Lytechinus pictus: one gene and its partner. The protein of the gene in region 2 purifies or fractionates together with the protein of the main gene of each other region. This does not show direct contact. Links are inferred from orthologs where the notes say so. Each region holds a gene or a part of one and is shown on either strand. Other genes may lie near its edges.

Region 1 (11,482 bases), on a different chromosome or scaffold from region 2:
ACAAACTGACTGCTGATATAGAATACCCAAATATTGTGTAGCCGTTAGACATACCTTCATTTGCTCCCTTCCGTAGCTGTTTGTAGTTGAAAGCTTGCTGCACCAGATCAAGAAGAGTCTTTGTAAGTTCAGCATCAGCCAAGGGGTAGGCTTTGGGATTTACTTCATCAGCCTTTTATGTGTACGAGGAAAAAAAGAGGGAGGGGGGAGGGGAAAAAAAATCAAATTTACTGCCATACAATCTCAAGTTTATGAATTTCAAACTTTAATCATGAAAAATCTAAATATTCCACTTGTAGCACCAATCGCAAGCCAAGATCAAACAGATTCCAACAAAAAGAAATTTTTCTACCTTTAGGCGGTAATGAGAGACCTCATAATTTTTAAATTCAATACGTTGCATTCATAAATCTAACCAAATGTCAAATTTAATCAAATTTGGACATCATTCCATGAACTAGATCCTGTGAAAATTGTTGCCCCATTTTTGTGTTGAAAAAGTCAATGGACAAAAATTTGATTTATTTGGCTAAATAAAATTGCAAATTTTCACTTCCAAATCCAGGCTGGACTTTATATGACAAGTAGTTATAAAAGGTATCTGTTCAAATCATTTTATTTTCAGCCCGCGGTACCCTTTTAAAGCAATCACTTGTCAGCATAACTTAAGCGTATGCTCACTCAATAAAATTACATGTGAAAAGTTCCAAAAAGTCATATAGCATGAACAAAGATTGAGTTGTATTAAGTCTAATTTGAGCTATGATAATAAATTATGAGGCCTAAAGGGGGGGGGGGGATCATTTATGTATCGGGAATTCAGAATAAAGGTGACTAAACTTCTAAGTGACAGATTCGATATTTTCAAATAAAATCAGACCAAAATTGAATTGATTTGAGATATAGATAGCATCGTCCATTACTACGGTCAGCCACTATGCTTTATCAACTTTAAAGGAGAATGAAACGCTTGAAACCAGCTGAATCCATATCAAAGAGAAAAATCAAAGAAACATATTGTTGAAAGTTTGAGGAAGATTGAATGAATAATAAGAAAGTTATGAGCATTCGAATATTGAGATCACTAGTGCCATGTAGATCCTCCCAACGGCAATGCGACCAAGATCTGTGATATCACACACGTACAACTCCCTCATTACTTTAGTACTTATTTCACTTATATTCTCACTTTTATAGAGTCTATCACAAGGTGAGGTGTTCTCTTTATGAGATGACAAGTACAGAGGTTTCACAACATTATATCATTGATGAATCGTTTGTCATATGATTAGAATGAGCAAAAAGAGATGTTTTGGGGTATATTTTCAGTGTCCAAATGGGAGAGTTGTACGTGTGTGACATCACAGATCTTGGTCGCATTGCCAATGGGAGGATCTCCATAGCATTAGTGATCTCGACATTCAAATGCTCATAACTCTTTTATTGCTAGTCCTATTTTACTCAAAGTTTTGTTGATCTTATTCTTTGATTTTTCTGCTTTCACAAAAGCTAACTTGCTCCAAGAGTTTCATTCTCCTTTAATGTAAAATGTTTCCTTTTGTAGAGCTGTAGTGTGAACAGGGTTCTTGAATAGTGACATTTTAAATAAATAATTCTTCTTAATCATCATCTTCCGTTAGTCATCGAAATTCCATCGTCTTCCACCATATTCTCTACATTCTTTCCAACATACAAGATTCACTCTTCCATCTCCGTCTTTCATTTTCAATACTCGTGTTCATACATACAATGTACATGTACTTCACTGTAAATAAGCTCTTACTCTCTGATTGGTTCCCTCCCAGCCTTAGGTCCATTAAAGGTCAAGTCTACCCCAGAAATATATTGATTTGAATCAATAGAGAAAAATCAAGTAAGCACAACACTGAAAATTTCATCATCTACATGTATGTCACCAATTTGCTCCGTTCGGACTCCCTGCCAAATGAAGGCAACCCGCTAGCATGCTGTCATCTTGATTTCTGTGCAAATTCAATGTGGTCAAGTTTTTCTGTGCTTGTTTTTTATGTCATTTTGAAGATTGTAAATTTGCGAGAAAGTTCATGAACTTTGAAGAAAAACTACAGATTTCTTTAAATTTTAGTGCATTTTCGGAGATCCCGCTTGTTAAATCTGAGATGAGCTGCCACATACTCTGGAAATATGGAACAGATTCTACATTTTTAAGCCAAAGGGCAAAATTTGACATTTTGACTTTTCAAAGGGGATTTTGGAGTCGAGTAGAAATCAAGACCTTCCTGAGGTGAGTAATAGTGCTGTCTACTTGGAGTGTGTTGTGGCGATTGACTGCTGGATTTTTAAATAAGTTTTGAGTCGACTACCTCAAGTGATGTCCATGTAGGCTAGACTCCATTTCACTACCGCTTATCTATGCTTCACCTACCCGATCATCAAGGTGGTGAACTCGTTCTGATACTCCGAGTGATATATGTGGGATTTTATGGGGGTAAATATAAAACTCATGCAACAACACGATCTTTAAAAACAATAAAAACTAATATTCTTACCTTTCACAAAGTTTCACTTCTTTTCCATGCTTCTTTAATTTCCTGAACGTATTAGTTTACTGCCGATTCCAAAACATCGCAAAGGCAAATTGCGCGGAATTTGCAGCTCAATTCATGAATATTCATGAGGACTATACATCCATATCTGATGCAAATGCAAAATGATCTCGATGTTTAGTCCTACTCATGAATATTCATGAATTGAGCTGCTGATAGAAGCGTGGAAAAGAAGTGAAACTTTGTGAAAAGTAAGAAAATTGATGTAATTTGTTTAGATTTTATGAAAGCCTTTGACAAGGTACCTCACCGTCGACTGCTTGAAAAGGTTTGGTATAAATGAACAGGTGGTTATTCGAGGCATTCCTTGTTGGAAGGAGACAGAGAGTGTGTGTGAATGGCGAGTTCTCAAGTTGGGGACATGTAGATAGCGGAATTTCGCAAGGGAGTGTTCTTGGCCCGTGCTGTTTTTGTTATATATCAATGATCTCCCAGATGTTGTTACTGGAAGTAATGTTTATCTTTTTGCAGATGATACCAAGCTGTTCAAGTATATAAGAGATCAGAATGATTGCAATTCACTCCAGAGAGATCTTGACCATTTGAAATGCGGGTCAGAAAAATGGCTGCTGAAATTCAACCCCAAGAAATGTAGTGTACTCTCTATTGGTATCACGCAGGACCGGCAGGAAGCTTTTGCATACACTTTAATGAATGATGCGCTTGAACATGTCACCTCCGAAAGGGACTTGGGTGTTGTGATTGATGATAAACTCAGCTTTGAAGAGCACATGCAATCGAAGATAAACAAGGCCAACAGGCTTATGGGCTTGATCAGACGAACTTTTGTATATCTAGACAAAAATAACTTTGCATTGTTGTATAAGTCGCTTGTCCGACCACAAGTTGAGTATGCCCATGCTGTGTGGAACCCCGTACTGAAAAAACATATACATGCATTAGAGAACGTACAAAGAAGGGCAACAAAATTAGTCCCTGAATTAAGGAAGCTTTCCTATCCACAACGACTTAAACGATTAAAAATCCCAACTCTGGCGTATCAAAGAGTTAGGGGTGATATGATTGAAACATATAAACACTTTAATAATTATGATCAATGTACAAAACTTAATCTCGAAGAAAAATATCGTGAACATACCAGAGGTCACAGTAAAAAATTGTTCATAACAAGGACAAAGACCCAGAAATATAGGAAGTCTTTTTATGTTAGAATACGTAAGACATGGAATAGCCTAAATAATGAAGTTGTCACTGCCCCAAGTGTGCACAGTTTTGAAGCTGCCCTGGATACATTAGATGCTGGAAAAATGAGCCAAATAAAATATGGCTACGAAGTACGAAAGCCCTGTTCTCGGAAGTGAGCCAGCCATCTTGAGGAAAAACCTAGAACTCAATAGAGGCATAACATGCCTACATTCAGAAACTTCCCAAGGTATCCCTAGGTAATATCAGTTTTTAAAGGTCAAGTTGTTGCATGAGTTTATTCTCCCCCTAAAATCTCACCTTTGTCACTCGGAGTATCAGAGCGAGTGGTCCTACTACTACTAGCTAGACCATGTAGACTAAGTCTAGTAATGGACAGAATTTTTTATTTAGTGTTCACATCGGATCAATCATGGGAAAAAAAACAGAAAAATAAACATTTTTTTTCATCAGAAATACAAATGTACGGACAGGTCTGCAGCTGCATCAGATCACAATCACACAAAAAAATCGAAAACTCAACATGAAAAATACTGTACTTTGTACAAAATCAAAACAAAATACAATTTCATTTTCAAGACAATCAACAGTAGACAAATCAAATTCAAAAGCAAGACCAAATACTTCCAAGATAAAACCTACATTACAGGCCTCATCAACTGTCAACCTTTCGGCGTCGTTACAACTTAAAGGGGAATGAAACCTTTGGAACAAGTGTCTCTTTTCGCTTTTTCTTATGGTGATACAAACTCTTTATCCATGATGTATTCTTTAAAAATCTGTATTACCGGTACATGCTCTCTTATAGAAGAACACACGATCTACTTATAGATGTGATAAAAGAGGCAGTGTTAGTGAAATATATACTAAAGTAATGGGGAGAGTTGTTCACAAGTGACATCACACATCTTTGTCGCATTGCCAATGTGAGGATCTCGTCATAGGCATAGCATTAGTGATCACAATATTCTGAAATGCTCATAATTCATATAACTTTCTCATTATTTGTCTCATTTTTGTTCTCAAACTTTTGTTGATCTGTTTCTTTGATTTTTCTATTTTCACACAAGCTATCTTTGTTCAGAGGTTTCATTTTCCTTTAAGTTACAGGTACATGGTTCGACTTGGTTCGTCATGAAACAGGCCCTAGCCATTAGTCCATTCCCATCATCTGCGTATGCGATTCTCGCCCACGAACATCCCATGTATCTTATCACGTTTTCGTGATTCAGTATTAGAATTGCACACGAGATAAATCGCTGAGCCGAGTTTATCGTATTGCCGTATTATAAATTGGTTGTGCAGGATGCACATTTTCAACAAATAATGCTAAAATAATTAATCAAACATGCGTGAAATGTACCACGAATTCGAAATAAGTATGTAACATACCATATTAGAGAGTTTCTTGGATTGGTTAGGATAGAAAAAGATGAATTTCGGTCCTCTCGGCGTTGCGCTTCACTGAGGCCTAACGAGCTCCACGTGCGTATACTTATGGAAAGCAAATAATGGGGATATCGGATCGATCGGATACGTATATATATATACGTATACATATATATGCATGCGATGTTATGCGCCGCGCTCGTATGCTAAAAACGAAGTCCGAGACAAGTGAGCTGCTGGGCAAACCCTTCACTCGAGTTATAGGGTCTGAATGTGCAGCCTATCCATGTCTTGTGTACTGAAGGCCCTCTCGCTCAGAATTGAAACAGCAAGTTTTGTTTGTGCTAGTCTTTACGTGGAGACGCACTTGCTGATCAATCATGGTCTGTTAAGAGTTAGGTTTAAAAAACAAACAAAAAAATATTCAGAAAAGTGTTATTAATATTGAAGGAGAATTATGTCATGATAATCTAAAGATAGCCAACGAATTTAACAATTATTTCACAACAGTGGCCGATAAATTATCTTGTGAGCTCCCCATTACGGACAGAAATGAGTTTGGGGCCGACAGTCCTAATTAAAAAAAAACTATATAAAAGGTATACAAAGAGGCTGTTTTAATTTTTCTCCTGCCACAGAAAAGTTTGTATTAGATGAATTATCCAAGTTGAAAATATCAAAAAGTATCGGACTTGACTTGGTTCCTGCTAGATTTTTAAAGGATGGTGCAAAAAATGTCTTTATACCTTTAACTAACACTATTAACCTATATATTTCAACTTGTACCTTCCCTGATGAAATGAAAATCGCTAAAGTCACACCACTACACAAAAAGAAAGACAAAACTCATGTTGGGAATTATAGACCTATTAGTGTGTTAAGCATATAGTGTCGAAAATTTTGGAGAAATGCGTGTATTCTCAAATTGAGAAATACTTTAAAGAATACAAAATCATTTATGAATTTCAGTCTGGTTTTAGGAATGGTTATTCTACTGAAACATGTTTAATTCACTTGTTGGATTTTGTTAGGAATGAAATTTCCGAAGGCCGTTATGTTGGGATGGTTCTTCTTGACTTAAAAAAAGCATTCGATACAGTTAATCATGAAATACTCTTAAAGAAATTAGAAGTGATGGGTTTGAATTCAGCATGCTTGAATTGGTTTAGGTCTTACTTGACCAATCGCCGTCAAGTGGTATCCATGCAAAATGTACTTTCATATTCTATGCCTATAAACTGCGGAGTTCCACAGGGGAGCATATTAGGTCCCATTCTTTTTATGTGCTATATCAATGATATGTGTAATTGTGTTAATGAAAGTAAATTACTTTTATATGCAGACGACAGTGTTTTACTCTATTCTGATACAAGTCCTAAGCTGATCGGTGAAAAACTTAGCTTAGAATTATCAAATTGTGTTAAATGGATGACAGATAATAAGCTTAGCTTACATGTTGGTAAGACTGAAAGTATTTTGTTTTGTTCGCGGGGTAAGTCTAAGCATACAGATTATTTCAATATATACTATAACAATCAATTAATTAAGAGACAGAATTCCGTGAAGTATTTAGGCCTGATATTGAATAGTGATCTCTCATGTACATCTATTGTAAAAAAAGCTAATGCTCGCTTGAAATTTCTATATACCGGTACCAAAACTGCATGAATACGAAATCCAGACGCATTTTAAGCTTTTCATTAATACAGTGTTTATTTGATTATGCTAATGCAGCATGGTACTGCAGTCTTGGAAAGGTTGATCAAAAAAAGTGTATAATTATTCAAAATAAGATTGTTAGATTTATTACTTGCTTACACCCAAGAACACATGTTGGGAAGAATGAAGTCGAAAAAGCTGACCTTCTTCGCATAGACCTGAGGTCGCAACAACTTATACTTCACCATGTTCATAAAACTTTCTATTCAAACGAATATCATTACATATCAAAAAAATTTGTTCACATTCAAGAAGGCCGAACAAAATCATGCGGATATATTTAAAGGGGAATCCAGCCTTGGCCATAAAATGTTGTGTTGGGAAGGAGAAAAAATGAATTAAACAGAATGGTGAAAGTTTGAAAGAAATCGGACAAGCAATAAGAAAGTTATAGCTGCTTTAAAATTGAGATCACTAATAGTATGTAGATTTCAAATTGGCAACTGGGTAAGGAAATTATGACAATGGGCAAGGACAACTTTCCCATAGGCCATGTACTTTATTATCAGGGATTTGTGGTTTTCTCCTAAGTACCCATTCCCCTGGGGCAGTTATCTAAATATAACCCAGGTAATATATTGTTTAATGTCCTCATGAAAGAAAAATATAATTTGAAATAAAACTTTTTGAAAAAATGACATTTTAGGCATAATATGTATTGGAGTACATGGAAGAGTAGTCCTTGCCTTACATCACTATGACATCCCATATGCGGCCAATTTGAAGTCTCCATGAATATAGTGATTACCAATATTTACAACTTTTAAAAATTCATAACTTTCTTGTTGTTTGTCCAATATTGTTCAAACTTTCACCTATCAACTTGTCTGAATTTTCCTTTCCTTATAAAAACAAGTTTTTATTTGGGTTGGATTCCCCTTTAAGGTTCAGGGCTGGGGGGGGGGGGGGGTGGGCTGCGTGGGCCTATAATAGCTGTTACAATTGCCAGAGATTTTCTTTTTCGCAACAGGCCTCTGACTTTCATGACCTTGTAGGCCTAATTAAGCTGAAATCGCATTATGTGCAAGCTAGCTTATAAAACCTAAAAATGTGAGGCGTGCCCCTTCTTATGTTTTGTGGTTTTTTTAAGGAGGGGGGTGGGAGGAACTAGGAGAAAAGAGGATAAAGATGGAGAGAAAACAAGAAAGAATGGAGGAATAAGCTATACACGCAGGCGCGGTTCTATATAGACTTAACTTTTTTTACGGGGGGGGGGTCTTCTGGGGGCTTGAAATATTTTTGACGTTGGTTTTTTTCAATACAATAAAAATGGCCTATTGTGGATAGCCTTATACACACCAATTAGCTAGTCACCCTCCTATGAAATTTTCTAATATTGTGCGAGGCAGCATAGCGACCGAGAAAAAAAAATCAAAATGCTTGAGAATTTTTCATCTCATTTATTATGCATTAGGGCCTGATCGGTGTTACAGATGTAGATGAGGACATTTAACGATAGAAAGGGGGGCGGGGGTAGGACTGGATAGGCAGGAAATTGGTTTGTGTTAATTGTTACCCAGTCCTGAGGCGTTTTTTAAACTTTGAACGTAAAAAGGTATAGAACATGGCAGGAGATGGGGTTTTAATATGACACCCCTTAAAAATACGAGGGGATGTGGTGACCAGGGAGAAAATGTTTGAAGCCAAACCTAGAATTTGAAGCACTTATGATCTTTACAAATAATAATGTAATTAAGCCTATATACACCTGCAGCAAATAATACTGAATGGGATACTTATTCAACAAAACGGCCAAATGATATACCCTGCACAACATCCCAGTATAACACAAAAGAATACACATATCCTATGTGGCCTATTGAAGACCAGTCAAATCATTTACATCTAATAATAATAATAATACATTAGATTTGTATAGCACACTTTCCATCTTGATTAGATGCTCTAAGGCGGAGCGCTTTTGATGACCAAAGTCCAAAACACGACAGGTTTTATTCAATTTTATGGCATTTCGTGGTGGGTGAATACATTATGGAGGTTAAGTTGCAAGGCAGTCTACTATATAGCTTAGCTATTGCAGGAGATTATTGATTTCATTAATGTGTTCTTCATTTAGATGATATTTTGCGAGGGAGCGTTTAGCGACCGAGCGAGAAAATTTTTGAATTTGAATATTAAAAACTTTTATTTTAGAGCACTTGACGACATGAATGAAATAATTATATAGGCCTTCGCTTATAGGACCTATATATATATATATATATATATATATATATATATATATATATATATATATATATATAAATATATATATATTTGTTTTCTTTGTGGTCGATTTTTTTTTTTTTTGGGGGGGGGGGGGCTTCAGTCCCAAAACCCGGGGGTCTGGGTCGATCAGTTAAATCATGGAATACGGGGGGAATAACCCCGTTGAGAAACACACCCGGTAGGTCAAGTCCACCCCAGAAAAATATTGATTATTTTAATAACTAGAGAAAAATCAAACTAGCAAAACGCTGAAAATTCCATCAAAATCGGATGTAAAATAAGCCTATGACATTTTAAAGTTTGCTTATTTTTCACAAAACACTAGTGATATGTACAACTCAAATGAGACAGTCGATGATGTCCCTCACTCACTATTTCTTTTGTTTTTTATTGTTTGAATTATACAATATTTCATTCTTTATAGATGATGCTGAAGAGCTGTATAAACCTTAATGAGAAAGAGTGAGTATATATTGTATCATAAATTATGGGGAAGTTCTGGGAGTATACACTGTAGTCTATGTATAAAACATATGGAAATGAAAACAATTCAAAGTATAAGTTTACTCTAATTTTTATCACTTCCCCCATCTGATTATGCTATATTATGATATTATATATATATATATATTTTTTTTAGTGGGGGTGCATATGGAACTCTTACCAAATTTTTAGTGTTATGCGTTAACTGTTAAGCTAACTTGAGAAAGAATATATTCTCTTTGCGTTCAGATCAGACTTCAGTGGCACTTCATATGTGGTGTGAAAACGTCTGCTATTTCAACTAAACTGCCTATAGCTAGTCACGTTTGTGTCGAATTTTAGTTCATATTTACTTTGATTATGGCTTCAGATGACATTTGGAAGTTGGCATACGGAGGAGACCTCTCCGCATTGAGAGTGAAATTATCGGAGAATAATTCGCTGCTCTTGAAATTAGATCAGGTTTGCAAGTATACCAAATTACTTTCACTGTCGTCGATGTGCATGTGTCGCGACTGAACTACACGTAGACGTAGTCCCACTTGTTAGATTCCATGTAATGTTACCGTTTGTGTTTGGCTATTCAGCGCAGCTCAGCTCAGCTGGGAGGCCGAGGCGGAGTTCAACTTGAGCTCGCGGAGCGGAGGGATCAGGAGGAAACTCCGCCGCGCCCGCCGCCGAAGCCTGCTTTGCGTTGGCAGAAAGTATGTCAGGCATGCACTTTGCTCAACATCTCTTGCAATTGTGTAGACAAATGATTCCCGCATGACTCCGCAGCTATATTTTATACTTTATATATAGGTCATACAGAAAGGGAAATATGCTTTTGTGATGATTGATAATTACTTTTTCGCCGCATCCATCTTGGTCTGGTTATGTGTAGTACATAATTCGGAGGCATGCGAAAATAAACTATGCAATATGTCCTGAAATATGACTCAAATTTGCTCGACTGGGCATGTGCGGGCACTCATCTGGCATATACAGTAATGAACAACAGTCAATATTCCATCAACCACAATTGATAGGTATGTGCGAATACGGGCGCATCGCGAGCGCTGGTTTTGGCTGCACGGTTTTCGCGCGGGTTTCGCTGCAAGTGGCATCGCCTCTGTCTGGGAGGCTCATCGAAAATGGGGTTTCATGCGCATGCGCACATAGTTGATGCAATCTCGTGCCTTGATACAGACAGTTGAAAATGTGCTCTTTCTGTACATATAAGTTTCAATGTGGATACTCGCCTGTGAAGTGTGGATATCGGAGCTTGAAAGTTCATCAAATTTTTGGATGCGCAAATGATCGAAATTTTTTAATGGTAAGTAGAACTACGATCCAATTATGTATCTGAATTGTTATAGAATATATTCAAATCAACAAAAAAAATCAAAATTAAAAGATTCTATCGTTGAGCTGTCCAGATATAAGAGACGCGAGCTACCCTTGTCACAGCCGGTCTCTCGGCAGTCGAGCTGCCCGATGCGGTGGGCTCCCGTCCGTCTTTCGGCAGTCGAGCTACCGGTACCCAATGCGGAGGGCTTGGTGACGGGAGCGGTCGATAGTGAGTCGTTCATGCTGGATTGAACTGGATCTAAATTGTTTACTTGATAATATTGTGCCTTTTTCTGAAAATGTCTGTCATTATACCGTAGATTGTTATTCTGATATTGATTTAAATTTATACATTTTGTCACAAAAACATTCTTTCCTCCTAAGGTTATAGAGTCAACATGTTTTACTTTGATTGTTCAATCATGTTTTATCATTTGGAAACTGGATTCTTTTGGAAGTGGAATATTAATGTTGACTTATTAAATTAAAATGCAAAATCTATAGTGTTTCTTTTTTTTCTTTTGTAGAAAAAAAATATATTTTGAAACTTTTCAATCATGTTTCATTATTTTGAGACTGAATTT
Region 2 (11,107 bases):
TCAATCGCCTCCAGCCTCGGCTGCCCATCCTTATGCGTGTAATTCTTAAGGGGGCTGGCCGAGACATACAATGGACAGCGTTGTGGTAGGGTCTATCAACATTAAGCTGGGTACCCAAATACTCAGCAAGAAGATTTATGTAGCTCCGATAGCAGATGAGATGCTGTTTGGCGTTGACTTTTTACGAAAACACAATGTCAATATTACATGTAGCATCCCAAATGCTATCTTAACTATGAATGGTGAAGACCTACCAATCATACAACAAGAAGATTCATAAAACATGGTGATATGATTGGGAAGGCTTATAAGTCTTGATTGTAGGACCTGATGTAGAACCTTCAGAATGTGTCCCATTGTGGATACTCATGAATTTGATCTACTTCTTCACCTTCTGGATCCCTGGAGCCACTCTATTGAAGGGCTGGCCCCAGGGGAACAGGAGTCGAGAAGGCTTCTACTTAAAAAGAAATTAAGTCAAAGACAAAGGGTCCCAAATGTGGCTGTTGAAGAATCATTCCCTGTAATGCGCATAGATATATCCTTCAACAAAGCCAATTCATTTCAGATCCGAATAGTTGACCCAGGTGAGGTGGCAGAGGAACCACCTTCGGACAATTTAGTCAAGATCACGAATCACGAGAAACGAGACCAACTCCTCAAGCCCCTCTGCAAGTGGTTGACAAGAAAGAGACGGTTGAAGAGACTCTGTTTCTCCTCCCGCCCAATGGAAATTTTTTGTGGACAAACAGGGAACTCTTCTACCTTTATAAAGAAGGAGTTATCTTAATGGAGGACGAGAGTGATGTAATGGTGATTCCTGAATCACTGAGACGTTACATCATTCGGCTTAGTCATGATCCTCCTTCAGCAGGGCATGCTGGGATCGGTAGCACTCAGTACTACCGATACGGCATGTCGGAAGACACTCGCATCTGCAAAGCCAGGTGTGCAACTTGTAAAACAAGAAAGCGACCCGTTCTGGGAGGCATCCTACGAAAGGTTTTCATGCAAGCGCCCCCATGGAACGTGTCCATCTTGAATTGAGTATCAATCCTGGTTATGGCAGACTAATACGAGGGAGTTCTATTGCCTCAAATAAAGGGACAATGCTACTCTCTTGCACCTGTCTCTGCCTACCACTGTGCGAATCTATTTATTTTATATGAATGGCAAAAAGAAGCTGCTGAAAGCTGCTTATCTAATATGAGAGCCAATGGAGTAAATTAGTAAGTCAAAAGGGGCCTAAGCTTTCGATCCTAGCAGAATCTTCGTCGGAGGCAAATTTTTTTTTTTATATGAAGTATACTTTAATGCAATACAAGAAAGATAAAATGGATGCCTATAATTTACGACATAATTTCACCTGTAATTTATTACCCAATTTATTTTGTACGCATCCCTTATTGTATATATATTAATGTATTAATAAAATAGAAAAGTTAGGTGGTTGGCAATATCCTATATGTATACATGCATATATTTATTATTTTACATATTCATTTTTACCTTGGTACATAGTTACACGCAGTAATCTTATTTAATTAATTTATATCATGGCAGAGACAAGGTAAGAATATTATTTATGATTGGTAATGATGTATATATATTGATGTATATATTTGTTATATTTATGTTTATGAACAAATAAGAGTCAGAAAAAAGAAAAAGATCACAGAGAAAGAAAAGAAAAAGATCACAAAAGAAGAAAATAAAAAGATTACAGAAGAAGATAAAAAGAACAAAAAAGATCACAGAAGAAAAAATCAAGAAGAGAAAAAGAAAAACGAAAGAAGAAAAAGAAAAAAAAAGAAATCAAAGAATAAGAAAAAAGAAAAGAAAGAAAAAGATATGATCAAGAAAACAAAAAAGAGGAAGAACAAACACAACAAATGTATGTTGATGTATACTTTATGTTTAGTGTTACCTTATGTTAAGTTATACCTTATGCTAAGTTAAGTATGTTCAGTTATATTAAGTTATATAGAAAATAGGTCACCCAATTTTTTTAGGGTGGGGGAAGTATGGTGTTAGGGGGGATCACTAGTAGTTTAAGCAGACACCACTCCATTCGCGAATCACATGACCCACCGGCGGGAATATGAATACAATATAGATCTTCACTCACCACCACTGCACTAGTACTACACACAACCCAAGGATGGTACGGACTTCGCTTTATGAGTGAGTGTGCCTGACGATAGGAGCTAGAGACAGAGTGATAAGGTAGGACCATTTTCCCAATAGATTACCGTAAGTAACGGTCTATTAACCGCACCTTTTTCTCGGCGAGATAGAAGCAAAAGTCGGGGGTGCGGTTTATCCACGGTGACGGGTCTGAGCCAGCCCGCCGTAACCCCTCCCGAACATGTAAGACGTCTGCAAGTTCACAACACATCGAGTGGCCGGGGGTAGCCGCCCAGGGCAATGTCATTTAGAGGGGTATGAGCCGCGGGTAATGGGAAGCGATTATTAATCGATCTTAATCAAATATTGTCCATAACAAACGCACCCACCTTCATGACACTAATTTCGACTTTATTCTCGATTCAAAGCAGCGAAGTACCCTGGCTAAGTTCAAAGAGAAACCAAGCATACTCGGTAATATTTTGTCACAGCTGAGAGCTAGAGCTAGCTTGCATTGTATTGTGGCTATATAGTGCGACTTAAGCTGGCGCTATTCATTTTAACCCCTCCCGGCCGCGAAAGTCCCGTTTCGCGCCAGCTTATTTTTTCTTTCTCGTTTGCTTTTCATAAGATACCATGTACACCACGCAACGAGAGAGACGGCACAAAGCCGTATAACAATTGGAAAAAATGCCAATTTCTTTGTTTCTTGAACCTTCCTGTAATCCCGTATCCAAAATTCATGCTAAGACATCGAATGCTAGACAAATTCTGAAAGTGATTGTGAGGTTGTGATGCAAGAAATGTGAATGTTTCTTCCTCCTACGCTGGGAAAGACACATCATAATTTGATAAGATGTACTGCTGGTACCGTATCTAAGTTTGCAATGTAAGAACAGCAGTGCTGTGTGTGTGTACACTGTGACTGTGAGGTGAGTGTGTAACTTGTAAGTGGCCAATATTGTCGGGACTTTTCTTTCTTGCTAACATTTAGATGAATTGATCAAGAACAGCAGATTTTCGCATACCGGTAATCTCTTTGGATACCTTGAAATCTTTAACTGAGTTTTTGTTTCTTCGTACCTCAAATATGTGAGAAGGATTTTTTTTTTTTTTTTTTTTTTTTTTTTTTTAGTCCAAAGTTGGGGGTGCGGTTAATACTCGGGTGCGGTTTATAGTCCGTTACTTACGGTATATATGAGTGTATGACTGTTTGTTTACCGGCCGCTCTGCAATATCAGCCTAAATTTACATTACAGGGGACCATTTCATCAACATTTTCAGATCTGACATCTTTCCTTGATTCTGATTGGCTGAGAGGCACTGCACTGTTACTATAGTAACTGTCGGATAAAATGGGACTTGTCGGATAAAACGTCCGACAAGTCCTTTCATGAAACGCTCCCCAGAGCATCACAAATTTAGAACGCCAAAGCAATTCCTATTTTACCCCGTTCCAGAGACCCTCAAATTTGTGGTTTCTCGTTCCAGTGTATGCCCATCTTGAACTACTCAGAGCAGCGAGGTTGATCGGCGCAGTCATAGGAGTTCCGGAGACCCCCATTTCTATGTGGCAAGTTCCAGACCATTGCATTTATTTTAGCAGTCGTTGATTCAAGACTCCGAAGACTGCCATTTTATGTAGGGAATTCAGTGACTTTTTTAAATCTTGAACTTAAGGAATCTCATCAAATAGCGCAGAGGCGATAGTTGGACAGCACTCTGCGGCCGCTTTTCACCAAAATTGCGGCTCATTGTAGCAGATCAATGCAGACGGAACGGCGTAACGGAAAATATACGAAGCTTTGCCTTTGGAGCGGATTTCTTTTTTCACGATAAGAAAATGCTATGCTTTGGAGCGGCTTTCTTTGTTTTTCTCAATAATTAAGACAAAAATGTTATGCCTTGGAACAGAAATTTGAGTGTAAAAATTGGGGTCCCCTCCGCGACACGTACCCACTATGCCTTATATACTGAGTGCCCCCCCCCCAAGCACTGCGTCTGAAATATTGACGGAGATATTCAAATTTCAGTAGGGCCTATACTATAGTGTCAGTAATTTACAGGGGAAAATATGCAGATTTTGTTATCCAAAAAAATATTAACAGCTTGTTTGAATGGACTCAACTAGACTGTTACAACTAACTTAAATTACAATGGTTAAGTGTAATTACACTTAGTTATAGTACTTACAATGTCAATGACTTAACAAGTTACAGTGTCACGTCTCACTCTCAAGTCTCAGATCTAAATTACATCTACCTACAACCAACACAAATGTGAGGCAATGGGACTGGACACAAGAATGATATAGTTTCATAATCACCAATACGCAATTAATTTCATGCACCTATCACATGATTTCACATAAAAGTAATATTTGTAGCTAATATGCAAAATAATCTACCTTAAAAATGGCATATCCTGCCGGCGATTCAAAGAGGACCAACATAATTGCAAGCTTTTCGTTCGTGATTGTGGATTCTCAACAGCCGCAACGACCACGCGGTACTGCATATGCAAATGGGACCGACCGGCCACATGTAGAAAAATCACCAAACGCAGCGATAGGATAGTCTGCAGGCCCAGACCCTCATTGGAACTTTGATCAACAAGGGTGCCTCCACGCAAAGACTAGCACATACAAAACTTGCTGTCCTTCGCGAGAGAGCCTTCAGTGCACAAGGCATGAGTAGGCTGCACATTCAGACCCTTAACTCGAGCGAAGGGTTTGCCCAGCAGACTAGCGATAGGATTGTCATGCATTACAGCCAGCTCAGCTCCTAGTCTGATATTCAGACCCATTAATTGTCTTCAATTCTGCGACAACTTCTTCCTCAGTTCACCTAGCCTCCGTCTATAGTATATTATAGGCTACAGTTCACCGGACTGACCGTGATATTTAATTCGTTAGAAAAATACAGATCATTGCTCTCGCATTTCAGTTACTAGTAGTCAGACGCATATCTGGTCCCCCTGGGGGGGGGGGGGAGCACTTACATTCAGTGGCGTAACAGGCGGGGGGCAGGGGGGCAAGCTGCCCCCCCTGGCGGATTTCACCGGGAAAATAAAAAAAAACGAGAAAAAGAGAAAAGGGATGGAAAAGAAAGCGAAAGGGAAAGAAGGAAAGGGGAAAAGGAAAGGAGGAAAAGGAAAGGGATCAAAAGAAAACGAAGAAAAAATGGAAAAGAAAGGAAAGCGGGAAAAGAAACGAAAGAAGAACATTTGAGAAAGAACAAATCATTCCGAAATGGGCCTATGTAATGCCACAGCATGATTAGTAAGAAAGGGAAATAAATCAAAAGATGACAAAATGGCAAACAAAAGCGGGAAATGAAGGTAGAATGGAATTAGCCAAAAGCTAAATTGGAAAACGAAGAATAGGGGAAAAAAAAAAAAAAACTTAATAACACGACCGGGCTAGCGAGGATTGAAAATAAAGAGTGGGAAGAAAGATGGACTGCATACAACATTTTGCTATAGGCTTGATAATTTTCATGAAAATAATGAGCTACCGGGCTCTGCCCCAGACCCCACGCAGTAAGTAGGGGCTCTTCATCTATAACCTTCAAATGGCTCTATAACGCCATGCAGGGACCCTTCCTACATTAAGCTTTACGTTCCATCACTGGCGTACAGGCGGGGGGGGGGGTCTTGATTCCACACCCAAGAGGAAATAAAAGAAATTATAGGAGACAACGTAATGGAATGAATGGAAAAAATGAAATGTGTTATTTGCTGAATATAATGGAAAAATCTGTCTCATAATTAGTTATCTAATTTCAATAGGCATCTTTTTCCAGCTTCGCTTTGCTCGCTGGCGACTATTTACAAATTTTCCCGCTTTGCTATATATATCGTGCCCCCTCAAAATATTTGGCTCATTACGCAACTGGGATGAGTAAATGTGTTATGTAAATGAGTATATTATGTATATACCCGCGATTTTATTAAAAATAGCGGCAATCTGCGAGGTTTAAAATGGCTTTGATATCAAGAAGTTCCGGGGGCTCCGCCAAGGTCCCCAACAGCAAAGCACTGCCGTATATGATTATGGAATGGTTGGGCCATGGTCCCCAAAAGTTCTACAACCAAGAACAAAAAAAGGAGGAAAGAAAAGCAAAGGAAAAGTGTAGGATATGATTTTATTTACTGAATATAATGTCAAAAAATATCTCAAAGTTAGATTCTCATGAAAAGGTGATTTTTTTCTCGATCGCTTCGCTCGCTCGGGACTTATATTAAGCACCTTTTTAGCACATGCGCCATACTACGCCCCTCGTTTCTTTTTTTACTCTTCACGCTACTGCCGAAAAGAATCCTGTTTACAGTGGCGTACAGACCAAAAAAGAAAAGGGAATGGAAAGAGAGAAGGGTGAAATATATTTTTCTCTGGATATCATGTCAAAATTGGATTTTTGTAAGAAAAAATTCAAAATTTTTGCTCGCTCGCTCGCAACTTTAAAAAAACAAAACAAAAATCCTGCCCGATACGCAATATCTGGCCCTCTCAAAATTGTCGCCTCAAAACACCATTACGCCTGTTCATACCATGATATGACCGGGAAATTTTTGGCTGTTGCCCCCCCCCCCCCCCCACCTGGCCACCGAACCCTGTTACGCCCCTGCTTACATTGACGAGTGGATACCATGCGCGACCAAAAAAAAAAAAACTAGTAAAAAGGATGTCTTTTTCAACATAGGGCACGTTACGTACGTCAAAACACTAAAATAATGAAAAAGGGTATCTATTTCGCTAGGAAAGCTTTGCGAGGGTAAAAAGACTAAAATGTTATATGAAGGATGTACTTTTTGCCCCAACAGTCATCACTACATGACTACGTGTTAAGAGTCCGATTTGAGCGAGGTGGGGCCGTACTAAACCCAATGATGTAGGTAAACCGACGTCCGTGACATATTTCTAACAATTAAAATATCGCTGTACTTGTTTAGTGGTTCAATTCAGGGAATACTTGCCATTTGTTTCCAATACCTGTTAAGGGTAGGGTTTCACACGCCAATACTTGTTAATGGGTGCATTATCAGAATATGGAAAATACTTATTTAGGGTGCTTTTCAGGACCCCATAGTCGCGCATGGTATCCACTCGTCAATGGAAGTCCCCCCCCCCCCCCGGGATCTGGTCTAGCAACTAGCATCTACCTCTGAGTCGCATATTTTTGTATTCAGTGTTATTTATCATATCATTTGATATTACCACGGTATATATAAACAATCTATGAAAGGGGCTTCTGATCATTTTCAGTTTGTGTTATTACACTGTGTTTGTTGATTATGCTGTTATATTTTTTTTAAGTCCTAAACAAATAAAAGCTTTTGGCAATAAAAGTTTGATTGGAATAAAAAGAGAAAAATCAAACAAATTCAACACTGACAATTTTCGTAGGATCGGGTGTAAAATAAGAAAGATATGACATTTTAAGATTTTATATATATACATGTATATATATATGTATATGTATATATATATATATATATATATATATATATATATATATATATATATATATATATTTCTGTATACATACATATTACAAAACAGTTACTATGCACAACATGTGATTTAAAAATAAGAGATGATGACTTATTCACTATTTTCATATCTTATTGATAAGTTATACAATATTCCTATACATTTTTGCACATTTGAAAATAAGGCGCGACAATCCATTGAATTAAATTACAACAAATGGCATCCGGGAGGAATCAAACTTTTATGAGAAAAATAAAGTATTTCTTCTAAAAAACACAATAGAAATTGTGAATGGGTGACTTCATCGATATGTTCATTTGCATACCGGTCAGGAAAAATTGTTTAACGAAATTAAGCAAATTTTAAGATGTCATCCTGATGAAATTTTCAGCGTTGCGTTTGTTTGATTTTTCTCTTTTCATTCAAATCAAACTTTTATTTTAACAAAACATTTGGAGTTGGACTAAAAGTGATGCAAGGGTTAAGCACGGGCTGAATTTGTTTTACATGCTGAACTAAAACACACAAAAAAATCAATAATCAATTAAATTCAAATAAACATTTATTTTCTTCCATTGACAAATTTCTACATTTTTGTAAACATAAATTCATGCAAAAATCAGTTTGCCGTGATGAATATAAATATGTACATGCTATGTTAACAGCAGAAGGCATAAAGAAAAGGTTTGTGGCGGGATATGCCAGTATACACAGTGAACAATACAAAGAAAAGAAGAAGGGCTATAGAAAGGGTAGAGAGAAGATGAGAGGGGAATGGAACGAGAAAGAGATCGAGACGTGAGCGGGGAGACGGGCATGAACTATATAGTAAAAAAGAGAGCGTACACCAATTGTACGAGGTATGAAAAAAAATTGCTGCAACAGCAAGTTTATAATATCATGTTAAATAAAAGTCAAAAGGAAAGATGAAGATATTCATACATTAAAATGACAAAAACATTTTTTTGTTCATTTTATACTTGAAGCTAGTTGTTGACAAAGATTTTTTTTGTAGTCCGAGATAGTTTTCAATTTTTTCGGGCCAGTATAATTGTGTTGGAAAATAATTTTTCTATGTTTAGGAATAAATATTTGATTGTTTGAGCCGGGATTTTAGCGGGTATCAAAATAATGTATGTGTCACGTGTAAAAGTATTATGGAATTTTTGTGGAATTTGAGAATTTAAACACCTGTACAGAAAATTACACTGCTAAAGGTCATTGATATCGTCTAATTTTAGCAATTTTAGGGAATAATTTTTTTTTTAATTTTGGTGTAGGCTAATGCTATGTTGTCGTCTGCAGAAAAGATAAGTACCGTAATTTTGAAGGAAACAATACTTTTTAACAGTTTAAGATGGCTTTGGTATGCGAAAGAACATCAGACCAACTTACAATAATGAAAATATGGCAAGATAACAGAGCAATATAATGTCCGCAATATACAGTTTTAGGCAGGTAAAACTAAAAGGCAGCGCGAGCTGAACATTTTTGGTATCTAGACCGGAAAATTTGACATTTTAAGAACATTTTGGAATAGTAACCGACCTCTGTATATATATAAATGTGAATGTATTAAAATTACGTTGGGAATAAGATTCCTGACATAAGCTGTCAGAACATTCGGCAAATATGCGTGCTCCTTACTTTATTATTATTTTGTTTTTTTTACACAAGTGCAACGGTATGACGTATTTCTGCTCGTATAGATGGAACGGAAATTCACTTTTTTGTTTATGATGTTATCAAATTTCAAATTTGTAATGACTAGATAACCAAAAATTAATGACGGTGGGAGGAGGTAGCCATTGATATCATTGATTCCGTTTAGGGTCTAAAGCCATCTGGTCCATTGTCCAAATCGTCCAACATGCTAAAAATCTAATTTTTATCAGCACACAGTAACAAAATTTATACAACGCTGTCTACTATATGAACCTTACAGTAATTGCTTAAACAGTTTAAACAACTGTTTTAATCTTAAGCAACATAGTTTAATTTTCAATATCTAATTGTCAATAAATTAAACATGATTGTTTAATCGGTTAAACAAATACTGTAAGGTTCATATAGTAAACAGCGTTGTATAAAATCTTAAACAGCGTTTTTACTGTGTACGTCCGCGATTCTTTTCGCCTTTTTAATCTTTTAATCTGGAAACACAACATAAGGCTTGACATAAATCATAAGGGCCAAACTATCCTCTATTAATGATCTACCACTGGCAGTGGTGGCAGCAGGGGTGGGGGCATTGCCCCCTCAGTCAGGAGCGTTTCTCCCTCAGTAGTCCACCCCCCCCCCGAAATTTTGAAAACTGAAAAAAAAATGTATAGTAAATGCTGTCAAAGCATCCTACTCAAGCTGTAGTCAGAGTGCTCCAAAACAGCATTTTCACTCTTCAAATTTTGAATGTTTTCACATCCTTTCACTGCTCCCGACACTATGAGTCTTTGAAATGGCTCGCTTGAGTTTGTATATCATGTTATATAAGTTTAGTATTTTTGCTTTACAATGCTAATTTTTGCCATAAAACAATAACAAATTTTCTTATTCAAATCTGCTCTCTCATGCACAAGCAACTACAATTTATTTTTCGTAGGAATTTGGTGCCACAAACTCCTTTTTTCTGATTACCCCATTCTATATCATTTTATCAACACCGTCTTTCACTAAATATAAAAGCTGCACAAGAAGGCTATATTCTCGTAACAAGACACGCAGCTATTTTTAGATAGAAAAATAAACTTTACTCTAATAAAATTATTCCTTTCTCTTGATTTTTTTTTAAAGTTATGTATGAAAGTTATGTATGAACAAACAATACTACTACTAATACTACTACTACTCCTAATACTATAACTACTACTACTACTACTACTACTACCACTACTATATAATAATAATGATAATGATAATAATAATAATGATAATAATATTAATATTAATAATATTAATAATAATAATAATCCAGTATGCTCTCTCTTACACGCTACGAGTTATGGCTACAGATACAAAGGGCAAGATGTATCTACGACAATAAACCATCTGATATATATGGATGATATCAAACTCTTTGCAAAAAATGACGATGAACTTCACAAGATGATAGCAGTAGTTAAACATTTCAGCGATGACATCAAGATGTCGTTTGGTATAGACAAGTGTGCCAAAGTTACACTTGTACGAGGAAGGAGGGTAAATACAGGCGACATGTTTGTGCAAGATGAGGAAACATCAATCAAGGAACTGACTAATGATTCGACATATAAATATCTAGGCATAGCTGAGAACGATGTCATTAGCCATAACACAATGAAGGAGAAGGCAACATCAGAATACAAAAGAAGACTCAGGCTGATCCTCAAATCCGAACTGAATGCCAAAAATAAGATTGAAGCGATCAACACACTAGCCATTCCTGTGCTTAGATACAGTTTTGGTATTGTTAACTGGAGACTAGCTGATATATGTGGCCTAGATGTTATG

The links.
Region 1: the proteins of nucleolar protein 58-like (region 2) and NHP2-like protein 1 fractionate together in Homo sapiens (co-fractionation; 3 studies listed by BioGRID and IntAct, with this or other methods). This does not show direct contact. The link is inferred for Lytechinus pictus from reciprocal best matches to the Homo sapiens genes NOP58 and SNU13.

Annotation. Positions count from the first base shown.
Region 1 is NC_087254.1:23,670,733-23,682,214, reverse strand, and holds the start of NHP2-like protein 1, read right to left. Parts: upstream 5,485-11,482; 5' UTR 5,145-5,484; coding exon 5,142-5,144; intron 173-5,141; coding exon 55-172; intron 1-54. Other genes in the region: 26S proteasome non-ATPase regulatory subunit 10-like, read left to right, coding at 9,930-10,031.
Region 2 is NC_087245.1:3,760,360-3,771,466, reverse strand, and holds the start of nucleolar protein 58-like, read right to left. Parts: upstream 4,665-11,107; 5' UTR 4,580-4,664; coding exon 4,535-4,579; intron 1-4,534. Other genes in the region: uncharacterized protein LOC135156108, read left to right, coding at 10,763-11,107. UniProt on the Homo sapiens protein: Required for the biogenesis of box C/D snoRNAs such as U3, U8 and U14 snoRNAs. Part of the small subunit (SSU) processome, first precursor of the small eukaryotic ribosomal subunit.